Sus scrofa: one gene and its partner. The protein of the gene in region 1 interacts with the protein of each later gene in a biochemical or structural test. Links are inferred from orthologs where the notes say so. Each region holds a gene or a part of one and is shown on either strand. Other genes may lie near its edges.

Region 1 (3,811 bases):
GACATAGACGGGCAGCCCGGGAGCACAGCTTTCCTCAAATGCTGCTCCAGGTAGGCCTCTGCACTTCTAGCCCGCCTGACAGCAGCCCTATCAATGTAGCCAGAAGCTACAAGGGCTGGAACTGGAACACTCTTAGCCAACCTGCATTGGGCTTTGGTGGGATGAACTACTGGGTATGGGTATTTTGTCTGTAGCAAGAACAGTATCTTTGGAGGAGGGGGCTTGGTGTGCCTGAAGTGGCCCTCTGTTTCTGCTAGCAATATTCCCCAATCCCTTCCTTTAGAGAGAACGGGGCCTCTGCCACCGGGGAAGCTTCTCCCTTGGAGAACAGTCTCGAGTGATGTCTCAGTGAGTATGGGGCTTGGTGAAGAGATCCCAAGGGCCAGATAGGTCTTATCTCCTAAACTTTGAAGAGACCAATGTTAAAGGATCCTTAGGGATATTCAGGTAAGGTTACATGGGGTTGAGGCTTTGAGAATAAACAAAATGGCAAAGTATAGCAATTGAGGGGATGATAGATGAATGAAAGAAAGAGACTGTGGAGTTCCCACCATGGCACAAAGGGATCATTGGCGTCTTGGGGGCGCTGGGGCACAGGATTGATCGCCAGCCATCCGGGCACAGTGGGTTAAGGATCCAGCATTGCCGCAGCTTCAGCTTAGGTTGCAGCTACATCTTGGATCTGATCCCTGGCCCAGGAACTCCATATGCCATGGGGCAGCCAAAAAGCAAAAGAAAAGAAAGAGGCTTGTACCCAAGCTAAAAGGAAATATCCTCTGTACACACATCCAGCTCTGTTAGGATTCTACTAACCGGGACACTGCCTGTGCTGAGCTCCCCTTACACTCATTTCCTCTGTTCCCCAGCTTCTTGCCCAATGATCTGGGCTTCATTGATACCTACTCCCAGAAGGCTTTCTGTGGCATCTACAGCAAAGATGGTCAGATCTTCATGTCTGCCTGCCAAGGTATCAGACCCTAGTCCTACAAACTGCCCTAGAACAAGAGGTGGTCCCCCTGCCTAGGGCTAGAAAGCCCCAGGCCCCAGGGGCTCAGATCCTGGCTTAGGGATGCCTGGCCAGAACACATTGCCCATGATCAAGGGCAGATTCCACAGCTGCACTGAGTGAGAGAGGTCTGATCTAGGGAGGATTCTGGGAGAGTGTCCCCTAATTCTGCCTGATCCCCACTTACACAGACCAGGTAATCCGAATGTATGACTGCCGGTATGGCCGCTTTCATAAGTTCAAGAGCATCAAGGCCCGGGATGTCGGCTGGAGCGTCTTGGATGTGGCCTTCACCCCTGATGGGAATCATTTCCTTTACTCCAGCTGGTCTGATTACAGTGAGTAGGCCCCAGACCACCACGGTGGCTCCAGCCTGGGACCTGAGCTCTCCAAAGGCCCATCTCCTGGGAGCCAGGACTCTGCGCCTTCTCCTGGGCAGATCGCCCCCCAGGGTGGACATCCTTGCCCTTTGTTCCATCACCTCCCAGCCTCACTTCCACCCTCCGTACCCCAGCCCTGAAAGAGTCTTGTTTCTCTTGCTTCTCTTAGTTCATATCTGCAACATCTACGGGGAGGGAGACACACACACAGCCCTGGATCTAAGGTACTGGCTTCCCTTCCTGGTCAGACTCATCAGAAACCTCTCAAGGTGTAGCTCCAATTCAACCCCTAGCCTGGGAGCTCCTATATGCTGCAGGTGCGGCCCTGAAAAGCCAAAAACCCGAAAAACAAAACATCTCTCAAGGAAGGCTCTCTAGGAGCAAACGTCTTTAACTGGAACTCCTGCTTAGAGGGAAAAGTACACTGGTTGCAAGTTTCTCTGTGTGGATTCCCAGGAGGGAAGCATCTAGCCTGTCATGCAGAGGACCAGGGTGCAGTGGGCGGCTGTAGGCTTCTTCCCAGTGTCTCACTGAGGTGCTGCCCATTCTAGCACATGCTGGCAGGGGTCCTTTCCCCCACAGCGGTGTGCCTCACGGCCCTCGTCAGATTCTCTGTAGATGAGCTGGGGTGGAGGGACTTCACGCAGCCACTCCTTTGCTCTTTTCAGGCCTGTTGAGCGTCGCTTTGCCGTCTTCTCCATCGCCGTGTCTTCAGATGGACGAGAAGTGCTTGGAGGGTGAGTGTGTGTGGGGATGTGTCCCTTGCTTAATGAGACAGGAGTTCTTCCAGAAGCCATCTCTGCCATTACAGAGATGGCACTGGACCCCTGTACCCAGGCAGCTGTGGAGAACAACCAGGCCTTCCCCAGGGTCAAGGTTTCTGAGTTACTTCACCCCTCGCTCACCGTTTCCCCAGCATGAGATGGGAGAGCTCATACCTCCTTGTAAACACAGCTAACTCTTCTCCCATCTCCTGCATAACTCTTCTCCCATCGTGGCTCAGTGGTAGTGAACCTGATTAGTATCCATGAGGACGCAGTTTGATCCCTGGCCTCGCTTAGTAGGTTGAGGTTCTGGTGTTGCCGTGAGCTGTGGTGTAGATCGCAGACGCCAGAACCTGTGGCTGTGGCTGTGGCATAGGTGGGCAGCTACAGCTCCAATTGGTCATCTGCCCTGAGAACTTCCATATGCCGAGGGTATGGCCCTAAAAAGACAAAAAAAAAAAAAAAAGAGACAAGCACTTGCTCCTCCATAGGACTTTGAGACACAGTCTCTCCAGAGCACATGGAGCATTGGTCTGGCTCCATTGTGGTCCTGGCTCCATACCCTCTTTATCTCCTTCCTTTCAGGGCCAACGATGGCTGCCTGTATGTCTTTGATCGAGAACAGAATCGGCGTACCCTTCAGGTATTGCTCCCAAGACGGAGCCTCTGCCTCCTGGTCCTTGGCCTATGGGAAGACCTAGAAAGAGGTCGTAGGCACCCTGGCCTCCTTTTCCCCTAGATTGAATCCCATGAGGATGATGTGAATGCAGTGGCCTTTGCTGACATGAGCTCCCAGATCCTGTTCTCCGGGGGTGATGATGCCATCTGCAAAGTGTGGGATCGACGCACCATGCGGGAGGATGACCCCAAGCCTGTGGGTGCGCTGGCTGGACACCAAGATGGCATCACTTTCATTGACAGCAAGGTGGGCACAGAGGCAGGACCTGCCTGCACAGCCAGGCTGCTGAGGTTCCTGTTGTCCAGGAGGGCGTCAGAGTGGACGGGCATGGGAACTCACCAAGCTCCTCCTTAGCCAAGGTTTGCAAGAGCTGGAGGTTAAGGAAGAGGCTTAAGCCACGAGACATGAGATCCGTTAGTACCACCACTCCTCAAGGAGCAGCTTTCTATACAAGGAAAGTAGAAGACAGTCTGATCCAGGATAGAATAGGAGCCCAGCCAGCGCCCTGGGCAAAGAAGGGGAAACCTAACCAGTGGGTGGGGTCTGTGGCTCGGTCTGCCTGGATGAAGAAAAGAGGCGACCAAAGTGAAAAGACCAGCGCTCTTACTCCTTCACGGGGGAGGAGGAGCCAGCCTGACAGCCACTGACATTTGCAAGTTCTGACACTTCATCATCCATCTTGGGATTCACAGGGTGACGCCCGATATCTCATCTCCAACTCCAAAGACCAGACCATCAAGCTCTGGGATATCCGCCGCTTTTCTAGCCGGGAAGGTATGGAAGCCTCACGCCAGGCTGCCACACAGCAAGACTGGGACTACCGCTGGCAACAAGTGCCCAAAAAAGGTGAGAGTGGAAGTAGAACCCAAGATCTGAAGAGTGAACAATTGGGGGTGGTAGTTAAAATATTTGACCCCTGGTAAGGCCTGGCCAGAGCACGGTAGGTGGGTGTAGGAGGAGGGCTGTAGCCTGGAGCGAGAGT
Region 2 (3,169 bases), on another chromosome or scaffold:
AGCTGTGGTGTAGGTCGCAGACGCGGCTCAGATCCCAAGTTGCTGTGGCTGTGGTGCAGGCCGGCAGCTACAGCTCCAACTCGACCCCTAGCCTGGGAACCTCCATATGCCCCGGGTGTGGCCCTTAAAAGACAAAAGCCAGTAGCTTCGGATGTGAAGCAAAAGCCAGCAGCCAGGGTGACTCTTCTCAAGCGGAGTCAGCTATCTTGGCTGTGGGCTGGCGGCAGTGCCCACCAGCGGAGCTGCTCCAGGGCAGAGGCGTGGCCCTGGTGTCTCAGTAACACAGAAAGGCCATCACCCCAGCTGCTGAGGAAGCATCAAACCAGCGTCCCTGGCTTGCTTGCTCGCTCGCTTGCTCGTTCGTCTGCTGGGCCCACACCTCCCTCAGCCGGGAGGCCCGAGTCTGGGGGAAGCACAGGGAGCCGGGGGAAGCACAGCAGGTCTGGCTCTGGCTCTGGCCCTGGTCTGACCAAGACCCCAGGGCAGAGCTCCAACCCCACCGCCCGAGGTCCTCGGCCCGGGCCACGCCCCCGCCACCACGCCCGCCCTCCCTGAGCCTCCAAACGCGCTCATCCCAGCAGTCAGCCCGTCTGGCGACGCACCAAGTCAGTTAAAGGTCCCTTTTATTTTCGCAATGTCATTCCATACAAAAGCAACAGAAACATAACAGTCTTAACAAGAAGTTTACAATTGAGTATCAGAACAGAAAATCTGTACACATTATCATTTACAGCAATTTTACATGTAAATTAACTGATTGTAAAAAAAAAAAGTTCTTTCTAAGCCCCTCTGCTGCCTGACCTCTTGGAGTATTACAGGTAGAAGGCCTACCCAGCACTATTTACAAGTAGCAGATGAAGACTGTAAAACTTACATAAAACCCATTAACGTACCAGCTCAAGCTCATACCTGACTATTCGGTGCTGTGTGAGGAAAAAACCAGCCCTGACATACTGACAAACAGCCAGAAATGAATCTGATTATGATCCTCAGACACCCGAAAGGAAAGCTGAAGCTAGATCGGTCCCGAGAACACATGTTAAACCCAAACCAGCCCTCTGACGAAGAGCAACTTAATACCCGAAACACTTGCGGAAAACCAGGTGAGGGATGCCTGTGGGTTCAGCTGAAGGATGGAGGAGACTGAGCCATTACGGCTGTCACAAGACGGCCTCAAGTTTAATGTTCCTTGAATTCAGTTCCATCTTCAATTTAAAACATGCAAAATACACTCCCTATACGTAAAATTAATTTTCTCAAGAAAATAAGGCAAGAACAGCAATCCACGTGAGACAATACTATTAACAGGAAACAACGGGTTCCAGATGCAGGGCGCCTCGCCGGCCTCCTCCTGGGCAGGGAGCGGGGCAGCCCGGCTCCCAGGGGCTTCCGGGGGCACCGGTTAGCTCATGGCCGAGAAGTCTTTCAGGGGCTCCGTTAAACACGCTTCCAAGTCGAACTCATCCTCCAGCGGGCAGTCCACGTGTCTGACCTTGGTGGGTGTGCCACAGTACACGTCCTAGAAGGGAGCAGAGGCACACTCGTCCTCAGGCCCTGGGCTCGCTGCTGCTGGGCTGTCAAGCACGGGCGGCTCACCCACGCGGGAGCGGGTGCCCCGGGCCAACGGCGCCACCAGCCAAGGCCAGTGCAGGCTGGACGCTCGCCTCCGAGCCCAGATGGAGCCACTAATTCCAACCCACAGATAACATCCGACTCAACGGCCAGGGGACGCGTGCCACTCCCGCCCGCCAACTCCACCCAACTGGAAACCAACGGACCCTTTAAGGCTTCGTACGGCAGCCACTCAACTCCGCCGGCAGCTGGCCCACGTGCCCTCGGAGGCAGAACCACATCAAACCCGCCCAGGCAGGCCAGCCTCAGCTCTAGCACTGGGCTGAGGACGGCCCCTTCCATCCCAGCCCCAGACGGGGGCCGCTTCCACACCCCCAACCGTGGCCTTCTGGCCCAGAGGGTCCCCCCCGAATCTAATCCCTGAGGAAACAGGGTGGCAACGTCCAGGTGAGGAACACGCGGCCTCATAAGAACTGGCTTGAGCTCTTCGAGAGCCAGCGTTGCGAGGGGAAAGCAGGAAGGCAACTCTAAGTTAAAGGACATTTAAGAGACACGGCAACAAGGAGTTCCCGTCGTGACGCAGTGGTTAACGAATCCGACTAGGAACCATGAGGTTGCGGGTTCGGTCCCTGCCCTTGCTAAGTAGGTTGACGATCCGGCGTTGCCGTGAGCTGTGGTGTGGGGTCGCAGACGTGGCTCTGCCGTAGGCCAGCGGCTACAGCTCCGATTGGACCCCTGGCCTGGGAACCTCCATATGCTGTAGGAGCGGCCCAAGAAATAGCAAAAAAGGACAAAAAAAAAAAAAAAAAAAAAGAGAGAGACACGGCAATGAAACGTAATCCCTGACTAAATTCTGGGTCAAAAAAAGAGAAAAAGTCCTGTGGAAAGGACATTATTGGGACAAGTAAGAACCCCGAGCACAGCCTGTTTGTCAGGCAGCAGCACTGACCGGCGTAACACTTCTCGAGCGCAAGCATCGGCGTGTGGCTGTGCCAGGGTCTGGTGAAGCCCAACAGGCAGCCGGCTTTCCAGCGCTAAGGGACTCCTGGGGACAGTTACATGGGCACGGGCGGAACTCGGTGACTCGCCGCCTTAGCCCAGCTTCCCCCCTGCCTCCAGCACACCCCCTGCCTGAGGGCCGCCCTCCCGGAGGCCCCCGGACCCCGGCCTGGCTCTGTCTCCCTCCAGCTCCTCCTACCACCAGTGCCAGGTTCAGAATCTTGAGCTGGGGAAGGACTTTTCGGTTGTTCTTTTTAGGGCCGCACCCATGACACATGGATGTTCCCAGGCTGAATCGGAGCTGCCGCCGCCGGCCTACACCACGGCCACGGCCACATGGGATCTCAGCCGCGTCTGCGACCTACACCACAGTTCACAGCAACACCGATCCTTAACCCACTGAGCGAGGCCAGGGATCAAACCCGCATCCTCATGGCTACTCGTCAGGTTCATTACCCCGAGCCACAACGGGAGCTCTGGAAGGGGCACTTTTAGCCCAGACTACGGAGACCACCTTCTGAGACCTCCATGGGTTTCCTTCTAGTGCCACCTACTTAAAAACATCCACAGGAGTTCCCGTCGTGGCGCAGTGGTTAAC

Evidence for each region.
Region 2: the proteins of DCAF11 (region 1) and SLBP form a complex in vitro, tested with the Homo sapiens proteins (2 studies listed by BioGRID, with this or other methods). The link is inferred for Sus scrofa from reciprocal best matches to the Homo sapiens genes DCAF11 and SLBP.

Annotation. Positions count from the first base shown.
Region 1 is NC_010449.5:75,174,469-75,178,279, reverse strand, and holds part of DCAF11 (DDB1- and CUL4-associated factor 11), read left to right. Parts: coding exon 1-50; intron 51-283; coding exon 284-348; intron 349-866; coding exon 867-967; intron 968-1,197; coding exon 1,198-1,344; intron 1,345-1,555; coding exon 1,556-1,610; intron 1,611-2,054; coding exon 2,055-2,123; intron 2,124-2,735; coding exon 2,736-2,793; intron 2,794-2,889; coding exon 2,890-3,075; intron 3,076-3,521; coding exon 3,522-3,675; intron 3,676-3,811. UniProt on the Homo sapiens protein: May function as a substrate receptor for CUL4-DDB1 E3 ubiquitin-protein ligase complex.
Region 2 is NC_010450.4:802,335-805,503, forward strand, and holds the end of SLBP (histone RNA hairpin-binding protein), read right to left. Parts: intron 1,520-3,169; coding exon 1,403-1,519; 3' UTR 606-1,402; downstream 1-605. UniProt on the Homo sapiens protein: RNA-binding protein involved in the histone pre-mRNA processing.